Canis lupus familiaris: one gene and its partners. The protein of the gene in region 3 binds, or shares a complex with, the protein of the main gene of each other region. Links are inferred from orthologs where the notes say so. Each region holds a gene or a part of one and is shown on either strand. Other genes may lie near its edges. The genes, in order: NCAPG, SMC4, NCAPD2, NCAPH and SMC2.

Region 1 (3,995 bases), on a different chromosome or scaffold from region 3:
TTCCTTACTTGAAATGTGATTCTCGTGAACTTCTACAATTAGAATCAGTCCCCTTCTGGTCCTTTTCTGATGACTTCAGATGGTTTTAATAGCTTTTATCTAACTCACCTGTGTCTTTACTGTGGCATGGTGAGTGTCTTTTCTTTTTTATCCCCTTTGGGGAAGGACTCGCTACCTTATCACGGACTACTTTAGCTGCATTCTTTTTCTCCCCCCATTTTGTTACTTTGATGTGTGCATTAGCTTACCATGGAAAGTCCTGCAACATGCTTCCCTATTGTATGACTCTTTTTTTCTCTTTTGCTCTAAATATTTTCGTTTGTGCACGTGTGTGGATAAATTAATGACTTTGCAATTAAAAGGATGCTGGTTATAAATCAGGCTTGCTTTTTATTCCTATTTTTTATACTTAGTTCAAATTTTTAACTTTAAGATTATGCTTTCTCTTATTCTCTCCCTTTTAATTGAAGGCAACTGATTCCATTGGAAACATTAACTCCTGAAAATGCTTTGTATTGGCGTGTCCTTTGTGAATATGTGAAATCAAAAGGAGATGAAGGTGAAGCAGTTTTGGAGCAGATTTTGCCGGAGCCTGTAGTATATGCAGAGTATTTACTAAGGTAAAATTTTTTCTTATTATTCAGATTGTACTTTTGTTGCTGTGTTAAGCCTCTAGCCCCTTCCCTCAAAGTCATGTTTGATGACTTTGTGAAAAACCATTTTTTTTGACTAGGCAGAGATAAATAGCAATGTATATTGAGTCTTTCTGAAGAATGTTCTGTGCTGGATGGATAAAGTGCAAAAAGTCAGTGTGTTTAGGGAGATTTCCTTAAAACTGTTAGGATGTGCTTATGAACATTTCTCCATAAAGTTGATAATGATGATGATGTGTTACTCTTTGAAATTGGTTGGCAAACCTTTTCTAAGGGTCAGAGCATAAATATTTTAGTTTGTAGACCTGTGTCACAGTGACAGTTCTGCTGTGTTGGTGCAAAAGCAGCCAAAGAAATATGGGATGAATGATTGTAACTATTTTCCAATGAAACTTCTTTCAACTTTTATGGACTAAAATTTGAATTTCATATGATTTTCATCTGTATATATTTTCAAATTATGTTTATATCCATGTATAAACAAACTTCCATTTAAAAGTGTATAAACTCTCATCCTGCAAACTATGAAAACAAGCAGCAGGCTGTATCTGGTGCACGGGCCATACTTTTCCAACTGACAAGGTGAACCTTTGTGGCTACTTTAGTATTAATTAAACCTGCACTATTTGGCTTTTTGTTTTCTAAAAGGATTTTTCAATATACACTTTTATATTAGTTATTCTAATTTCACTTTAAAATTGTACAAGTAAAACATGAAAGCAATTCTGATCAAAATTCAAATACAGAAATATGTAGAAGAAAAACGTAGAATTTTTCTTTCATCTCCTAATTCTTTAATCCCATTTATCTTACAGTTAACAATTTGTGGAATGTACACTTGTGGCCCTCTTTCTCTACATATATATATTAAAATACACAAAAATTTTAAACATAGCACAATACATGTTTTTGTTTTTCTTTTTCCCCCCAACTACTTATATCTATCTGTGGTCATTATATGTTGGTGCGTATAAACTTATCACACTCTTAACATATTATTCCATGGTATGATGGCAATACTTAATTTACTTCTCTGTTAATGGACATTTAGCGTGATTCTGGTTTTTTACTGATAAGGTTGTATTAAACCATACATTTTTATATGTGTTTGGGATTTTGTGGGGTTGATTCCTAGAAGTGGAATTGCTGGGTCAAAGGTTATATGTATTTTCATAGATTTTGGTGGGTAGATTTTTAACTTTATGCTTTTAAAAAAAAATATTTTATTTATTTATTCATGAGAGAGACAGAGAGGGAGAGAGAGAGAGAGAGACGCAGGCAGAGGGAGAAGCAGGCTCTATGCAGGGAGCCCGACGTGGGACTCGATCCCGGGTCTCCAGGATCATGACCTGGGCCGAAGGCAGGCGCTAAACCGCTGAGCCACACAGGGATCCCCTAGCTTTATACTTTTAATGCAGTTTTTAAAAAGCTTCTTCCATATAATATGAATTATAGGCCTGAGTTCTTTTTGTATAGAATGTAACATTTTGCTTTTGATGAATGATTCCATGTAAGTTAGGAAGCAAAACTATAAATGCATTTTAATTTGCATGCAAAATATTGAACCAAGGATAAATACCTAAAATTTGAGCCAAAATGGAAACTTACAGCCTGAATTCATAGTAACATCATAAAAAATATGAGTGAATCTACTGTTTCAATAGTAATTGTTTCAAGCTTCAATATAATTAGAGTATTCATTATATTGCTGTTTGGGCCATGTTGCAGTATTTCCAAAACCAATGAGTTTGATGTAGTGCTTAATAATATGAATTAATATAAAAGTAATAAATACTTATAGAAAATAAGGGAATGTTTCAGAGATTAATTCTTAGTTACTGAAATCAACAGGTAAGGAGCTTGGTTTCCCTGGCTCTGAGAAGTTAGGGATTCTTATATTTCCATTGTCACTTAATCTGTGAGTTTTGAAATAGGTAACTTTAATCAACTTTTTATTTAAAAAGAAGAAAACTTTAAAAATTGTATTTTTATTATTATTGAAAGAACAGTTTAGAAATAGAATAGTTTTCTTTTTGGAGCGACATCACTAGATAGGATTAGCTTATTCCGGTACTGAAACAAAATTAAGTGGAAAAATTGCTTCCTGAAAAATCTCAGAAATATATTTTCAGGCATTTGGTAGCAGAAAGAGGTAGTGACCCAGAATTCTGATATGAAACAAGGTTTCCTGTTAACCGAAGTATTCACATAAAGGAAGAAATCAGGGATATTAAATTTGGCTTGTCAAATTTGAGGAAGAAAAAGAGATGTGAACACAATTTTAGGAAACAACCTTAAATATAAATTCTTGGAGAGAGCTTTAGGAAAAGGCTTTCTTTCTTGAGTGTTCTCCTCATTGTAATGAATGTGTTTAAAAATGGTTAAAAAGAGATGATTTCATGGTAATTAAAATTGGTGGGTCCATTTTAGGTTGTATTTATGCAGTTTGAGATTCTTAATCTATGAATGAAGTTATTACTCTGAATTTATTTAAAAAAATACCCTCAGTCTTGATGCTATGCATTGTGCTAAAGCTGGAGTGGAAGAGTAGGGAAGGATTCAAAGAAGAGGGGATCCCTGGGTGGCTCAGTGGTTTAGTGCCTGCCTTCCACTCAGGGTGTGATCCTGGAGACCCGGGATCGAGTCCCACATCCGCCTCCCTGCATGGAGCCTGCTCCTCCCTCTGCCTGTGTCTCTGCCTCTCTCTGTCTCTCGTGAATAAATAAATTAAAAAAAAAAAATCTTCAAAGATGAGTGAAGGTTTTTTTTAGCCTGTCAGAAACCAGCAACTCTACTAAGCTAATGATTTTGATAATTACTAGTTTCTTTCCTTTAGTTTTCTACTAGAACCCAAAGAGCGCTGATGCCCTTTGAAAGTCCTATCTCATGGCCAGAGATTTGTGAGCTTTTATTTACTCTTGGTTGTTATTTTAAAGACGAGTCAGTTTATTCATCATACATAATTCTGCAGTTCTTATAACTTGATTTTTGTTGACAATTTAAAAATGACATTTTCATCAGGATTGTTTATTACTTTCAACCTAAAGGCACCTAGTTGTCTAAGCTTTAACTCTTAATTCTGCCTTTACCTAGGTTTTTTTTGTTCACACAAAAAAGAGAACTTTTGGTAGTCTGTTGAATTTTATCTAGATGAGGGTTGTAAAAGGCTTTAATTTGGGCGGAGGTAATAAGCATAAAAGGGTAGTTGATGATGCTTATTTAGGAATATCTACAATGAAATAAGAACAATACAGATATTAGTAGAGCCCCCAAGCAAGGATAATACAAATTCATGAAGCTCTATTTTTCTGATTTTTTAAAAGGTCATTGTATTCATGGCTT
Region 2 (4,603 bases), on a different chromosome or scaffold from region 3:
AATTGTGTATTAGTACCGAAAGTTTTTTAGATCTTATTTTTTGTGCTCGATAGCCAAACACAAAAAGCATAGAATCAATAACATTGGATTTGCCACTGCCATTTGGCCCAATAATACAGGAAAAGCGCTGCATAAAAAGAACAGGAAAAAAAAATTAAAGTGAAGTTAAAAAGGTCATACTATATAACTGATTTTAATTTAAACCGCTTGCCTTTTTTACTTGCAGCAAAACTATTTAAAATTTTCATTTCAACTTGTTTTCCTACATTATATTCTCCTTTATAACAAGCTTCAACATTTTAAGACTATAGTCTAAATCACTTTTACAAAATTCATTCTAATAGAAAAAATACTTCCTCCAAACAAACAAAAATAACCCCTCACCAATTCTACTCTGTGTGGAAAACTTAACAGCTAAAGAGGTACCAACGATAACCAGGATAAACAAAAACTAATTTCAGTTGTTAAAAACACAGGAAACATACCATGTATTATCAGTGAGGATAAACAGGATAAAACTGAAATACCTTGTAATAAAAACACATTACTCTATAATAGTTATTTAAAATGATCAAATACCTTATGAAAAGGTCCCAAAATTTTTTCCCCAGCATAGGATTTGAAGTTCTGGTTTACAATATGAGTTATCATAAGCCGAGGAGCTCCAGCTTCATTGGCCATGGCTGGAGGCGGGGGAGGAGGGATGCTATTCAAAATCTCTTCTAAACTTCTATTATCAATTTCCTCACTTGGTGTCTCTAAGTCAGTCAAAGGGAAGGGAAAGCAAGAGGAAAAAGAAAGCCTGCATTAGTGCAATTAGTTCGGAGGACTACTGCCTGCTAATCTTTGGAAAAATGTTACTTATGAAACCTAGGAATCTGTATTTTCCACTTAAATGTATTTTACTAAGAAGAAATGAAAATCTTTCAGCTTGATTTTATAAAAATAGAAATTCTTAAAGAAATGACCACCAGTCACAAAATCCTACAAAAATCTATCTCTTAGGAGTCAAAATACTACACCATAAAGCAAATCTGGGAAAACCACAACAACCTGATTCTCTGTTCCTCGCCTAAACAGGTGGTTAAATCCTAAGGCTCTAGATCTAACTTTCTCCCAATCTCTGAGCACCTGGAACCTTAACTTTGGACACTCAAGAGCTTCCAGCGACTCTGCCACGGGGCTTCCTAATGTCACCCAATTCCAGTACTCACAAAAAAGCTACCGTAGTTTCAAATAAATTATCGTTATCTTTTTAAACGCAATTTAGACCAGAGAGGTTAAATTAGGGCCATGTCACTTTTAAGATACAATCATGTTAATTCTGCCTAGAAAACAGTCCACTAGCTATTGGCTGATCACGCCGATCTCCGAGGAAATACAAGGCCACAAATAAAATCGTAAATGTAGCCACGCACTTGCCCCAATCCCCTCCAACACCGTAACACCGAAATTGCACGAAGACTCCGACCTCCGAAAATCGCCAAATCGCTTTGTCGAGCACTACGGAACCGACATGCGACCTACAGTCGCCAACTCCGCAGCCCCTCAGCTCCGCGCCCCCAAACACCCGCCAGTCCCGGCTTGGGCGCGGACCCACGCTGGCCGCCCCGCGCGTTCTCCAGCGGAGGAGCGGCGAGGTACTTACCTGTGGAAGCAGGGGCCGGGCTGCCCGCGCGGCCAGGCGGGGGTTCGGGCTCCGCGTCGCTGCTGGGGCCGTCCGGGGACTGCGGCGGCTCTTCCCTCCCGCGCCGGGCGGTGGAAGGTTGGGTGCCCTTTCGGGGCATGGTCGCTGGGGCCGGGGGAGAGCAGGGGCGAGTCAGTCCGCCGGGCCGCAGGGCTGCGCGGGTACATTCCCCGCCGGCCACCGCGTCGGATGAGCTCAGCCCCCACCCCATCCCACTCGGGGAAAAACTCCGTCCACCCGTTTCCGAGAACCCCTTTTAGATAACGCCGCCGGACGCCGGCGGGTGCTCGGTAAAGAAAGGCGCGCGCACACACACACACACACACAACCCCAAGTGCCAAAAAAGGCGAGATGCGTTTTCTTAAGCCCGAAGCAACTGGGCAAACCTAGACGTGCGTGGCCACCAGGCAAAGGGCAGAACGGCTTACGTTCCATTTTCTTAATGCCTCCCCACCCCCGTCCTCCCACGGCAGAAGGGTCTAACAATCCTCTAATTTCCTAACGAAATAATTCCTGCGCGGCGGCATTTGCTGGTATTCCCACGCTGCTGGGGTTAGCGAAGCAAGCGCAGAAGAGACTTTGGCCGAGAAGACTTTTGTATCCGCTTCAGGTCTGAGGGACTCTCAACTCCTCCTGAGGAGCGACGACTAACGGGCGACTCGCCACCCACTTTCCCCGCCATTTGGCTCCGGGCGCCGCTGACGGCCCCGGGGGCTTCCAGGTCTCGCTCGCTGCCGTCGGACCCGGAGACGGGGGTCGGCCACTCCCGATTTCCAAGACCAGACCTAGCAGCGCCTGGTCCGGGCCAATCATCTTGGGGGTGGCGGGGGTCTGTCCCCTCCGACCCCCCCGTGGAGCCTCGCTGGACAATCCGCTACGAAAGGTCATCACGAAGGGCTCGGACTCGGTGAGCAGTCCCTTGGGGGAAGAGAGGAGGTCAGGGGGCCGGGGCAGGGGAGACGCCCTTTCCCCGACAGAGACCGGGATTTCCGAGAAGAGCTCTGCGAGGCTTAAGAGTCCGCGTCCCCCGCGCCCCCCCCCCGCCCCGAGGCGCTTAAGTAGCTCAGAGAAGTGGCGCCCGCGAGGAGCGCGCGGGAGCCCCGACCGCCGGGAGGCGGCCGAGGGGGGAGGGGTGACAGCGAAAGAAACCTCCCGGCGGCTGCCTCAGCCCAGAGCGGACTTCGGCGGCTCCAGCTCAAGGCCTCTACTTTCCCGGCGCCCGCGGACCGGGCAGGAAGGGAGAGTGTGACAACCTGGTCAGGAAAAGAAGTACTTTACCTGCGGCGCAGGCCACTCGCACCAAAACCGGAGACCGTTGTATAGCACCCCCCGCTCCTACCGGTGTTTCGGCTCCGGGTCCTTCACTCGAAAATGGCGCCTAAAATACAAACTCGAACGGAAATTCGTTACAAATGCGCGCAATGCTTTCTGGGAACCACTAATTTGAAAAAAATGCGGCGCTTGCCACCGCCATCTTCTGGTCGCTTGCACGCATGCGCGAACTCCTGGCGGGACCCTGGCGGGACCCCGGCGGCCGGGCTCGTCTGTAGTAAGTGAAGAGGCGGAGCGAAGCGCTGTTTTGTTTTAGGCCTACGGCAACAGTACTCTTAAAAAATACCAAAAAAAAAAAAAAAAAAAGAAAAGAAATCCCAATCTAGAGAGAGTTTTGAACGAGAGGAAAAAAAAAAAAAAAAACCCAACCCAGGAGGGCTCCACCCACAGCTGGAGGAGGGCTCCGTCGTCTACTAACGTCCCTTCAGGAGAGGGCGGGCTCGGGTGACCCGCGGAGGGGGAAGTATCGCGAGAAGAGGGAGTGTGCGCAGCTCGTAGGAGTCACTATGGTGACAGGGAGGTCGGGAGGCTTCTTGGTAACTGGTCCTAGCTCCGGGAGCAATCGCCTCTGCTTTCCTGGAACTTTAAGGTAAATCTCGTCGCCTCCGGACGTGGTGAGGAAAGGGTTTGGAAATTGTGGCCATCGACGGATCCCACCTTACCTAGTGTGATAGCGTATGCGGCACCGAGCATCTGCCGCGTCCCCCTGCAGGCAGCGAGCGGGGCGCTGGACGAAGCTTTTGGGATGCGAAGCAGGAAGCCCTGAGTTTGGAAGGAGTAGAAGGACAAGACGAAGAACAGAAACACCCGGATCGGTGAATGATTGCATAGTCTATACGTCAATAGCAAAATACTTTGGAATTTGTTGGTGTCAGGTCATTCGTGTCACTAGCGAAAGGGGAATTTCGGGCTTTTAGGATGATTTGATTGAGATTCCGTAATGGAAGAAAATGATTGGTTGATGTCATCTGGTTATCTCCACGAGAAAATTATCGATCGGAAAATATTCCTTCGGTAACTTTTGAATACGTTGTACTGTGAATTACTAAGCAGGTATTCCTGTTTCCAGAGAACTTAGTTTTGTGGGTCGATTTTTAACGTGGAGTCCGTGGTCCTATTGGTGGGGCGATTGAGATTCAGTGGAATTCATAATGCTCCCCCCTCCCACCCCCCACCGCCGCCAGCTGAAACGGTAAACAGAATTCTGTGTGTTTGTGCATTTTCCTGGGGAGTTAGTTTCCTCAGAACTTTGATTCTCAAACGTGGTCCTAATCACCTATTATGTTAACCACCGCCCCCAATAAGTATGTATTCAGCGACACTTAGGAAATTGTCATTGAGAACTGGGAGCCCTGCCCTCCCTTTGACTTTTGCATACTTAGTGCCTGGCATACTAAAGCACGGAGAAATCTGCTTTATAAATGAATTTATGTTACCATTCTAAGTAAGTAGTACGAATCTTGCGCCGGGAGTAAAAAGAAAAGTTCAGTGATTCTCAAGAGGGATGTGGAGGAGACACTCCCTGACAACTCTTTTAAGAATTTGGTGAAGTTCAGAGACTGATGTGGTTTGCCAGAACATTGA
Region 3 (3,995 bases):
CTGCTGGCCTGACAAGGAAAGCAGTAGAGTCTGGCTGCTGCCCACTGAGGACCCTCTTTGTCTACTTACTCGGGCCCTCCTGGGTGGTGCTCTTCTCTCCCAAATTCTCCAGGGCCTGTTTTGCACAGCCCTGCAGTATCTGGGCACAGATCACGTCGGGGCCCTCTGCCAGTTGGTAAATGAGGGTCACTGCCACCTCTTTAAATGGGATCCAGAGTGGGTCTGGGTGGACAAAGCCTGCAGAGAAGAAGGGAGAAGTCACTCATTGCAGCCAAAGGACTCGATTCTACCCAAGGCCTTCATGATAACTCACCTCTTGTGATCACCTCCCGCAGTCGCTCAAATAGCCTATGTTCCTGAGGCAGCCGGAAGGGAGGGTGCCGTTTGCTCAGAGAAGGCTGTTGAGAACAGCAAAGACAAAATGTGCCTATGTGTTGAGAGTGGTTAAGAGGAGCCCCACTCTCCTTGGTTTGGAGATCCCCCATACCTTTCTCTTGTCAGAGAGGTTGGCGATGGCATGGCACACCTGCTGGGCCAGCCGGTAGTCTTGTGGAAACTTCTCATCCAGCCCTATGTTCACCAGTGTGTCTAAGTTGCTTCCCACAATTTCTGGTTTTCCTCTAGGAGAAGGAAGCCACAGAGTTAAAGCTAGTCGGGGACAGCACTCTGTAGGGAATAATGCCCAGTGGGGTAGGTAACAGCAAGCACTCTGTGCGAGGCTTTGAGAGCCCTGGAGCACTACAGAAGAGGCTCTACAGGGCTGGCCCTCAGAATCCCTCTCCCTGTACCGAATCCCATTATTTCTGTTGGGCAGGGTGGGGGGTAGGGGTAGGGGGTGCTGGTACTTGCACTGTTTTACTTTTCATTTAGGTAGCCAACTACTACCTGGTACAGCTGTGGGCCTGACTGCCGGTACCGAAGGGAAGGGAGCCTTCTCAGAGCCCTCCCTCCGCCTCTTATTCCTACTGCCTGTCTGGACCCGAGCCTTACCGTGCCATCATCCCAAGAAGGATGACAGAGGAACAGCGCTCCAGAGGAGAGCAGGGGACCTTCTGGGTTGCCCGCTCCCACAGCACCTGGGTCACTGCTGGCTTCAGTTCATCCTTCTGCACAAACTCACAGAGCTGAAGAGAGAAAAAAAAAAAAAGGCTCAAGCCAGGAAATAACAATTCGCCTGATCCTTGTTCCACTTCTCTGAAGAGAGCACTGAGAACCCGAGGTGGGTAAAAGCAATGCTTAGGCACGGAAAAGGAAGGAGGAGGAGTCTGGGGAGGGGCTTCCATCTCTGTCACTTTTCCATCCTCATGCCCTCAAAACTGCATTTAAGATGACATTTTCAGAGTGACCTTGTTATGTGTGGATCCGTGGCTCTGACCACATTTTGGAGATTTCTAGTAGGTTTTGTTGCTGTTACAACAATGCAACATGTCTAAAATGGAAGGCTGCATCCTCCCTTGCCTTTTCATTTTGCCCAGAATACCAACACTCTTAGTCTCATATGCTTGAAACTTCATAGTCAACGTTTCCTCACTTTGTCCCACCTACTCTTTAAAATCCATCTTCCATTAAGTGCAATTCCATAGCTTTTCCTCCAAGGCCAGCCCCTCACCACTGCACACTTGACAGCAGCCTCCTCTCCACCAACCTGTATGTTCCTATTGGACCAGTCTTCCCAACACCTACTTCATCATGCCATACCTCAGCTCATCTTTTAGAAACAGCTCTTCTTTGCCTACAGTAGGAGCTCGGGGACCGTGAGCTAGCCTCCTAGCCTCGAAGACTTCAGGCCAGTGGCTGCCACGGGGCTCTTCTTTGCCCCAGAGAAGAGAAAAGGTGGCTGGCAGGAATGCTCCACCTAGTGGATGCTGGTGGTCAGCACCACTTCCGCCTTCAGGCTCCACAATCCAAATGCTTCAAAGCACATGGGCCTCACTAAAATGCTGGCAAACTGAAAGTCCTGGACTTGTGAAAGGCATTCAGGGACCTTTCAATTCCGTTCCAATCTACACTCCCACTTTATCTTTTGCAGGTAACAATTTCCAGCCAGAACACAATCTTCACTCTGCAACTTTTTGTGCTCTTTCTTGGCTCCCTCCTTTCTCTAATTCTCTGTATCCTGCTCATCAAGACCCTGCTTAAGTCCTCCCACTGTTCTCCTCAGAGAAACATACAAGGTAAGAGTATGTTTTCCGGAGCTCATATTGCCTGTGTCTCTCCCACAAACCAGCTGTCATTAGCCAAGTACCTTAACCTCTCAGAGCCTCAGGACCTGTCACCGTAAAATGTACATTAGCAGCATCACTTCAGAGGGTTGTATAAGCATGATGCAAGCTCCTACGAGCAAACTGCTGAGGACAGGCCTGGCATATATATAATAAGTGTTATTACATTACCATTCCTGCTATAACCATTACTTAGGCCACTTTTTCTGGCACTGATGTGCCACCTCGTTCTATAAACGTATAAATGTTTTTTGGCTACCCACTATATTGTTGGTTCCTTTAAAATGTTGGAACTTGAAAATAATCTTATACTTTGTAGGGCTGAGTAAATTGCTGAACACACAGTAATACTTATTGAATGAATAAAGAAAGTAGAAGTAAGGGGATGCCTGGCGGGCACAGTCAGAGGAATGTATGATACTTGATCTTGAGGTGTTAGGGGTTTGAGCCCCACGCTAGGTGTAGAGATTATTTAAATAACTAAATAAGCCAAAAACAAAACAAAACAAACAAAATAGAAAGAAAGTAGGAGACTTACAATTTCCTCAAGACACTGGATGGTCCCAACTGAGGCATCCACTAGCAGCGAAGAGAGATTTTGAATCAAAGCCTGGGCCTTGGCTCTGTGGGAATAGCAGAGAGCAGAGGTCATTAAAAACTGCTAAGTGTGAACCCACAAACAGGTTATTAGGGCTATCCCACTACAACGTCGGATAACTATGTAGGATGGGTTTGACTGGAAGTCTGAGCTCCACTGAATCCCATTACAGATCTATGTCTGATGATTTCAGAACTCCTCTAGAAGGATGCCCCCACATCCCCACCCTTCTTTTAGGAGACTGCAGACTCCTAAAAGAGTGCAGTCCTATGAGAAGCTGACCTCAGAGAAGTTGGCAAAGGCCAAAAAGTACCACATATACCTGGCGGAGTCCCCTTTGGGGTTGAGGTAAAGTTGGCGGTAAGCATTAAGCACAGCTTCCCGGACACCAGGCTCCTTAGACCAGATGAGAGGCAGCATGCGGCGCACCCCAAACAGGGCCTGAGGTACCCCAAATTGGAACACCATCACAAAGAATTCAATCACCTCCTGTACCACTGAGAGGATAGATACAAATATCACCCATTGCTTGGCCAAATTCTCCTAATACTTAAAGACAGAACCTTTCTTAGTGTAGCAACACGCAAGTGGAAGCTTTCCTCACTCTCCCTGAGAAAGTCAACTCCTGATGGCCTTATCATGAACTGTGTGTTAAAATGTGTATGCTCCATGGGGATATACACAGCCAAAAGAAATAAAGAATCCCAACAAAATAAAAAATAAAAAAGAATCCTTGCCTTTTTAAAGAGCAGATAATTACCATTAAAATATGGACAAGACTGGTTTTCCCAACCCCAAGACCCAGTCCTTACAGAGAGGGATGCTGGCATACCTGTTGTTGTATTTTCATACATCATCTTGCTGATGATGCCAATGGCCTCTGTGATCTTCAGAGAGAAGCTATAGGCGTCCTGCAGATACTGCACCAGCATCTCCTGCTTTACCAGTTCATCATTGTCCCTGGATTTCATAGGCTCTGACACACAGGGCTTATCTTTACAGTCTGGCTGTTTTAGGCCCGTGTTCCCTGCAGGCCCCTGGGTATTCTCCTGTGTGGAAGCTACTGGGCCTAGGAGTTAGACAGTTATAGGATGGTTATTCCTTGAGGGCTACCCAACACCTGTAACATCCCTGGACATTTCTTTCCACAGTGGGAAGTTCTACATTTAGAACCT
Region 4 (3,995 bases), on a different chromosome or scaffold from region 3:
ACAGCCCTAATACATGCCTGTGAGAGCTGGCTGCTAACAGGGTCACGTGAGGGATGGAGAACATACGGACCAAGAGCAACAGTGAGCGTTAGCTACTATTGTTAGACTCTGTTCTGCAAGAGAGGAAGAAGTTCGCTTCTCTCTAAAGGATGCCCAATGTGGCATTCCAGAGGAACCTTCTGGGTAATTTAAACAAGCAACCTAAGGATGGGCATATTATGCTCCACAGTTGTGTGGAAACTTTTCTGATGACTAAAATGCTCTAGTAAAATATATATGTGTACTAACCTTTTAAATCTGTCATTTCCACCCAACCTAAATCTGGTAGCTCCAGGGGTTCTTCAGTGGAGAGAGTCTGGACATCAGAGGGAAACAGAAGCTCACTTCTGTAGTCATGGCAGTGGAGGGTAGAGAGAAATACCCCTGCTGTACTGCACTCATCAAATGAGGCTGCCGTCTTCTGAAACATGGGATCAATCTGAGCATAAAACCAGAGGAAACCAATGAATTATGGGATGCAGCCGAAGCAAATGTAAAATCTCCTTCATTGGACCCTGCTCATTCACAACTGCATATGTGGAATTGAGATATCTCTGCATGTGACTGAAGCAGGGGAAGGACTTTCTATTTAATCAGTAAAATCTCATCTTAGCAGATACCAATAGAAAAGGAAGACTGTGTGTGGTCAGCTGAATAAATATACAGCATTCAAGTACACAGCTTCTACTATGTCAACCTGTTTATGATCCACATGGACGGTACCCTTCTGTTGTCTCTTCCCACAAGTCACTGTTTTCAAAGGGCCTGGCAGAATGCTATCACAACAAATTCTGTGGACTTAAAAAGCCTATGTGATGGATCTGTTCACAAGATCCCATTATTTCTCTGGGGAGAAATATTTTCACAGATTTGGGGAATACAACCAAGAGATTCAGGGGAAAGACAGGCAGAGTCAGCAGGACTAGGTGGATGGGTAAAACATAGGGGAGGTTGTAAAAGGGCCTCCAAGGCTGGGGTAAGGAGCAGGAGTGGCAGAGCCAGGTGATAGCAATCCCAAAGGTAGAACAGGGGACAGTGCACGAGAATGAGGAGAGAGCAAGACACAGGCATGTGTGGCAAGAGGGCAAGTATTGGGTTCACAGGTCTCCTTTATGTTTCAGGATGTAGCTAGTGTGGAGAGAGAGAAGGGGCCTCAGGTAGGATAAGAGATGTGGCTCTCTGGCTCTTTCCTGGCCCCCTTAGCTCTGAACCTGACCTGGCCAGAACCGAGATTCTCCTCTCGCCTCCAATGAGCCCATCTCACCATCGTTCCAGCCCCAGAGTATCAAATACATCACCTCCATTCTCCCTGTCTCCTTACCCCTCAGGCAGTCAGCCTGGTGGGTTTTCCTCCCAGTAGATCTCTACCATCTATCCCCCTTCCTCCTTCACCTCTACTGCCACCAATACAACCCACGCCTGAGTCAACCCTCATCTCTGGTCTCTCCCATTTCCTATCCTAAAAATACTAGCGTTGTTATTCCCATTCCCTTCCTCAAATGCTAACCAGAGCACTGGCATCCCACCTGGATCCCCATACCCTGAGAGGTCCAGTGTGGGTAGTTAGTGAAGCTAGCATATTGAAGAGTCAACACGGAAACTGTAAACACTAAAATATAAAGCTGAAAAACACTAAGATAATTTTCGTCACTTTTGTCTAGAATTATATCATGCAATGAGAGAACAATGGTTCTTCCATATAAATTAGATCTGATTGACATTTTTGAGTTATTTGATGGGAAATTGAATAATTGGTGACTGCAGTTTGGGTAGATGAACCTTGTGTGTGTGTGTGTGTGTGTGTGTGTGTGTGTCTTAAGTAATCTCTACACCCAGCATGGGGCTCAAACTCATGACCTCAACATCAAGTATCATATGCTCTACAGACTGAGTCAGCCAGGCACCTCCAGTAGGTGAATCTTTTGAAACAAGGGTCCACAGCGAGGAAGAGAAATAGTAAATAGTAATAGTAAATAGTAAAATAGTAAAAGGAGCCTTTGGTAGATAATAAAGTGCATGGTAAAGTCTAAAGGTTGTTTCAGCCTTGTGAGTAGATCCTGGGCTCTAGCCAAACTTGTACTCTGTCCAGCTCCCTTTAGGGAGAAACATTCCTGCTTCACAGCCTTTGTTTATGCCTCTGCCTGGCAATGTCCACCTGATAAATACCTACCTTTCCTTTAAGGCCAAGCTCAAATTTCACTTCTTCCATAAGCTCTGACCTCCACCCACTCTGACTTCCTATAGTATGTGCCTTGAACTTCCTTGTATTGTATCCATTTGTGCGCTCCTGGTATAAAGAACTGGAGCTTATAATCAGGTTGGAATCTCCTATGACAGCAAACATTTTACACACAGAGAGCTGTGTCCAAAACAGATCAGCTCATACACAAACAAGAGTTCTCAACTGGTCTAGACACACCCACACAATATTTGCTTTCTCATTTCCATGCCATCTCCAAGAGAATACAGGTTCAAGAAACAGTTGAAACTTCAAATTCTAGGTCTCTGACAATCCCTCCTTCTTGGTTATCTTCCAAATTGGGCTTTGGGTTATTACAAGTTTATGGTGGATTACAGAGCAAAAAAACTTTCTAGGATTGGGGTACTTGGTGTTTAAGACTAGTGATTTCAGGGCACCTGGGTGGCTCAGTTGTCAAGCATCTGCCTTCAGCTCAGGTCATGATCCCAGGGTCCTGGGATTGAGTCCTGGATCAGGCTCCCTGCTCAGTGGGGAGTCTGCTTCTCCCTCTCCCTGCCACTCCCCCTGCTTGTGCACAATCTCTCTTCTCTCAAGTAAATAAATAAAATCTTAAAAAAAAAAAAAGACTAGTGATTTCACGCAGCATAAATGTGGCTGACCATCACAAGCTGAGAGGGAACAGCACCACTTGCTCTCTCATTTTCTCTCTAGAATAATGGGCAAGGCTAGTTAGTGCAAGCCTCCTCAGGCTCCCCAGAATTGGGTCTAGCTGGTCAGAAAAGGAAACAAAATTTCCAACCATACTGTTGAACTGACATTTCACTACAGAACCAGAAGCAAAGCCAAGAATGACAGTGAAATTAATGCTCAGATTATCTAAGAAGAAGGAAAAACATGGAGAACTGGAGAGGGGAAGGGAAGATGGGAGAGAATTATATGGCTCCTCTTTAGGGGTATACAACATATTACCATGGATGAAGCACTTTGCCAGGGACAGATTCTCTACCACAAAACCCATATGCAGACAGAACTAGCGTTAACCTGTTTTTACAGTTTAACAAAGTGAGATTCAGAGCCTTTTCCCGCGCCACACAGCTAAGAGAGTGGAACCAGGATCTGAACTTCACATCATATGCTTCCAAATGTGGTACTACCTAAGGTCAATTCTGACATATGGATAAACAGAACTCCCTCCCCACAAAGTGCCTGCAACTCGTTTCCCTCCTCCCTCTTTGGCCTTGGCCTCGGCATTTCACCTTTCTCGACCCCCTCCACACCCATCCACACATTGTCCTCACACCAGCACAGGCTGGAGCGGCCAAGCAAGGCCAAAGCAGAACCGCCCCATCACTCAGAGTGAAGCCGTCAAAGCCCCTCACTCCTAGCCCCCTGTGTGCTCTGCCTCTACCACTATCATCTGCTATGAGACCACCAGGACTAATCTCATCATTTCCCTTTATTTAATTTATTTATAAAAGACCTAGGATCCCACAGGATTCTACATTTCCCAGGGTCTAAAACCTATACAGCTCTGACATCCCCTCTTTGGTCCCCATCTCCGTAGGCTAACAATGGCTATTTCCCCCCAGGGCCCTCTAGAAATTCCCTATATTCCTCCACTTCATTCTTGAAGGTTCTCTCCACCTACCAGCTTTAACTCATTCATTTTTAATTGGAGGCAGTATCATTCTCAAGGGAGTAAAAACCAGTTCTTGGGGGAGGGTAGGGAAATCTTAGAAATGATAGTTACTTGTGG
Region 5 (3,995 bases), on a different chromosome or scaffold from region 3:
TAGGAATAAATACCTGAAATTTAGAAACAAACATTTATCCTATTTGGTGAAAAGGAACATTGCTGAGAAGCCTTCAAAATAGCTGTAAGCCTCAAAATTATGTTACACAGCAGTTCTGCCATTTATACTGAATTCCTCATTGAGCAGTTTACCAGAATATTTCAACAACTCAGAAGCAAAAATCTGATTACGGGTAAAAATAAACAACACAAACGTGCCTTCGAAGCAGCATCTTCAGCTTCCCGTTTATGTTTGCTGATGTTGTGGTCCAATTCCTTAATTTTAAGCTGAGAATCATTGTTTTGTTCCTTATGTACTGCTACTTCGGCATATTTAGCTTTAATTACATTGTCTTGGGCTATTATCACTTCTTTTTGTTTGGTCACCTCTTCTTGAGCTTTATTTACAGACTCCTGAAACAAATAATTCAAAGACAACATATAGCAAGGTGCTGTGGACATATTTTTAGTTTATTAAAAGATCATCTAACAAACTTTTGGGCAAGATAGAAATATGTTTAGAGGCAGATGGTCACCTAACCCTCTATATTTTACATCCCCATTAAAATGACTAATTTATATATAGGAGAAAACTTGTTTTACTACTAGAAAAAAGATGGGATGCAGTATTCATGCTGGAAGTGACAAAGTTTCTGCTGGGTACAGTTTAGTTGGGATCAACTTGCAGGGATTATAGGAATCTGACTTTTGAGGTCTCAAAAGGTGGCATTTTTTAGTAGTTAAGAAGAAGACAATATGACAGATCCCCAAATATCATTTATCAAGAGTTTGCAGGTTGGTGCTTTCTACTCTTCCCTTTTATAGATATAAGCTATTTTTACCAGTGACAATGGAAGGTCATAATGTTTGGTTCTAGCACAGGGGTCAAAAGAGAAAAAGAAAAGAGAAACTTTTTTGAACAAATAGATCTGTGACACAAAGAAAAAGTTTCTTGCTTTGACTTTTATTATCCTCCTACTTCCCAAGGCTGAAGCTACTCATTCAATCCTCAAAGTGGTAATTAAAACTGCAATTCAGTCTATCAACAACCCCCTGCTCCACAAACCCCTTTCGTTCATCCTAGATCTTAAATCACATTAAATGTTTAAACCAAAAAAACCAGTTCAACTCATGTTTGGGTACAGGGAAAACCTAAGTAGGACAATCTGCTACAAGCCTCTGAGGAAGAGAAAGGTAAAAGGGTGGTTCTTTGTGATGAAAAGCACAAGTAAGGGCAGCCCCGGTGGCGCAGCGGTTTAGTGCCGCCTGCAGCCCAGGGCGTGATCCTGGAGACCCTGGATCGAGTCCCATGTCAGGCTGTCTGCAAGGAGCCTGCTTCTCCCTCTGCCTATGTCTCTGCCTCTCTCTCTCTCTCTCTCTCTGCATCTCTATGAATAAATTAATAAAATCTTAAAAAAAAAAAAAAAGTGTAGCAGTTTTTTAGGCATGCTCATTACAAAATGATCATTTTGAGCAACAAAGAACACTTAATGTTATGGTTAGGTTATTGAATGTGCTCAAAGTGCTTTAATTTCCTAAAATGTTTAATCTGTGTCATTAGAGATCTTCTGAGGAAGGAAAATAAATCAGGGCATTCATATAAAAACCTAAAGATATTTTAGCTTTTTGAAACATTTGAAGAACAAGAAAAGAAAGTGAAAATAGTTTGGTGATATTAACCAGAGGGAAAAATAACAGATACAGGCCTATTAACTAACACCATATCTAAAAAAAAAAAAAAAAACATGTTTATGAAGATTTTCTCATGCTTACAGGTTAAAAATTGCATTGCAATTTTGACTATTTTAATCTTTTTTATAATAATAGGAAATTGTCACTAAGGTTGAGCAGAAATGAAATTTTAGTTTTGTCTAATTATTTAGTAGGCAGTTTCTTTTCTTAGCCTCTGGGGAGTGTCCTTTGCTATTCTTATCAAAGAGAGGAAACAATTTAGAATGAAGAGCCTGAAAGAACCACCTTTAAGAACGAAGTGATCCATTCTATACTTTTCCATAAAGAAAAATGGAAATATGTATATGTTCGGACTTTGATTTCATTTAGATTGAGAAAGGAGTAGCTTATTTTCACATTTATCTTTATCTTTAGAAACATGTTATCGAATTTTTAAAAAATTCTCCAACATGAGATCCATGAAAGACAGCATAAAATATGGAAAATATTTCATATGAAATAAAAAATATAAGATTAAGACATATTAAATAAAATATCTTTAACAACTAAAATTTACTTTGGAGACAAAATAGAAACTGAACAAATCTAGAAAATCTAATCATCACAAAACAGAACTGAGAAGCATTTTTTCAAAAAAAGTAGTTAAAAATGTTATTCTATTGATTTGACAATGTGTTAAAAACAAAACTTGGGTGCCTGAATGGCTCAGTCGGTTAAGTGTCTGCCTTCAGCTCAGGTCATGATCCCAGGGTCCTGGGATCGAGTTGCACTTTGGGCTTCCCACTCAGTGGGGAGTTTGCTTCTCCCTCTCTCTCTGCCCCTCCTCCCCCTGCTTGTGCTCACTCTCTCTCAAATAAATAAAATATTAAAAAAAAAAACAAAAAACTTGAATTAAGTCATCAAAAGAATTAAGAGCAAGCGCAATGGGGCTGTTTTCCAGATTTGTTCCTTCCATCGGAGGAGTACTTCTCAGTCCTATGGGTCATAATGGCTATTCCCTGTATCTGCTGTTCCTTTATCATTTTGCATTCTCTTTTCTCTTTAGTGATCAATCCCACATCATTCCAAATTCCTACTGTAGTGAATTTTTAATTTAAACTTTGCCTGCTCGAATTACTGTATAATTTGTCTTCAGAGTAGAGCCAGACTAAAACAATTAGTATTATAATTTCAGGACTCTTTCTGGATCACAGTAATCACTGTTTTGGCTCTCATCAAGACAAGAATCAAGAGAGCAAGACCTCTTGGAGTCAAACATCTTCTAGCCAACATTTCATAAGTAGATTCACATTTGCTATTTATCCAATATAGTAAGTAAACGTTACCTTATTTTTAGCCACCTCTACTGCCATTGCTTCAATCTGTACTTCATAGGATTTGATAGCTTCATTTACAGCTTCAAGCTGTTGTTTATAGGATGTGTGCTCTCTCTTGAGCTCTTCCAGCTCCAGGGTGATAGCTTCAACTTCCTAGAAAAAAACATTATCTACACATTCAACAGGCTATTAACTACTGAAAAATGAATACATATATCTCAGCAAAATTAGTAAGATTCTCATGCAAGTAAGACCCACAGCTTCATTATTCAACTACCAGAACACATGTAAGTGGTTTCCCCTAAAAGAGAAAGGAAATTTATTTTCCTACACTTAAAAAAAAAAAAAATCACATATAGTTTAAATAACTTAGCATAAGCTATTTCCTTTATCCGTTTATTCCTAGAGAAAAATATAGAATTCTACATAAGAGATAAACTAGCAGAGGAAAAATGCTTTTTAAAAACATAATTATGCAATGTCAAAAAAAAAACTAGTTTCTCAATTTTCTTCTTTCCCATTAAACCTTTTAGTTCATTAGAAAATACTTTGTGCAAGCATTTAATGACAGAATATGAAGAAAAATAGATTTAAATAAAATTGTATAGAAAAGTGATTCAGAGCTGTCTTTAAAATAGACAGAAAAGGCTAGGTTCAAATTCCAACTTTGGCACTATCCAAAGGGTAAAATCAGATATCACCAGTTTACAACTGAATGGCACTTTATAAATGTGACATGCTTTGTCCTGTATCAATTTTCACAGCATCCATTCACCAAATGGATGATCACCAAATAGAAATGTCAAAACTCAAGCTGACATGACACAGCTCTACTACATAATAGAAGCTTTGGTCTACTCTTGCGCAAAGCATTTACAATAAGGTAATTTTGCTCGCTCTTTAAAATTAGCAAGACTATGCAACCCATCCTTATAATTATGACCCTCCATTACAAGGTTTTCAGCAAAATGTTTTAATTTGACTTAGA

The links.
Region 1: NCAPD2 (region 3) and NCAPG share a complex: the UniProt entries of both Homo sapiens proteins name them as parts of the condensin complex. The link is inferred for Canis lupus familiaris from reciprocal best matches to the Homo sapiens genes NCAPD2 and NCAPG.
Region 2: NCAPD2 (region 3) and SMC4 share a complex: the UniProt entries of both Homo sapiens proteins name them as parts of the condensin complex. The link is inferred for Canis lupus familiaris from reciprocal best matches to the Homo sapiens genes NCAPD2 and SMC4.
Region 4: NCAPD2 (region 3) and NCAPH share a complex: the UniProt entries of both Homo sapiens proteins name them as parts of the condensin complex. The link is inferred for Canis lupus familiaris from reciprocal best matches to the Homo sapiens genes NCAPD2 and NCAPH.
Region 5: NCAPD2 (region 3) and SMC2 share a complex: the UniProt entries of both Homo sapiens proteins name them as parts of the condensin complex. The link is inferred for Canis lupus familiaris from reciprocal best matches to the Homo sapiens genes NCAPD2 and SMC2.

What each region holds. Positions count from the first base shown.
Region 1 is NC_049224.1:91,919,301-91,923,295, reverse strand, and holds part of NCAPG (condensin complex subunit 3), read left to right. Parts: intron 1-470; coding exon 471-620; intron 621-3,995. UniProt on the Homo sapiens protein: Regulatory subunit of the condensin complex, a complex required for conversion of interphase chromatin into mitotic-like condense chromosomes.
Region 2 is NC_049255.1:26,641,233-26,645,835, reverse strand, and holds the start of SMC4 (structural maintenance of chromosomes protein 4), read right to left. Parts: upstream 3,125-4,603; 5' UTR 2,966-3,124; intron 1,793-2,965; 5' UTR 1,788-1,792; coding exon 1,649-1,787; intron 759-1,648; coding exon 580-758; intron 128-579; coding exon 1-127. UniProt on the Homo sapiens protein: Central component of the condensin complex, a complex required for conversion of interphase chromatin into mitotic-like condense chromosomes.
Region 3 is NC_049248.1:7,610,966-7,614,960, reverse strand, and holds part of NCAPD2 (condensin complex subunit 1), read right to left. Parts: intron 3,890-3,995; coding exon 3,653-3,889; intron 3,318-3,652; coding exon 3,143-3,317; intron 2,846-3,142; coding exon 2,761-2,845; intron 1,125-2,760; coding exon 991-1,124; intron 621-990; coding exon 488-620; intron 399-487; coding exon 314-398; intron 238-313; coding exon 70-237; intron 1-69. UniProt on the Homo sapiens protein: Regulatory subunit of the condensin complex, a complex required for conversion of interphase chromatin into mitotic-like condense chromosomes.
Region 4 is NC_049238.1:34,614,349-34,618,343, reverse strand, and holds part of NCAPH (condensin complex subunit 2), read right to left. Parts: intron 479-3,995; coding exon 289-478; intron 1-288. UniProt on the Homo sapiens protein: Regulatory subunit of the condensin complex, a complex required for conversion of interphase chromatin into mitotic-like condense chromosomes.
Region 5 is NC_049232.1:60,488,858-60,492,852, reverse strand, and holds part of SMC2 (structural maintenance of chromosomes protein 2), read right to left. Parts: intron 3,161-3,995; coding exon 3,017-3,160; intron 414-3,016; coding exon 219-413; intron 1-218. UniProt on the Homo sapiens protein: Central component of the condensin complex, a complex required for conversion of interphase chromatin into mitotic-like condense chromosomes.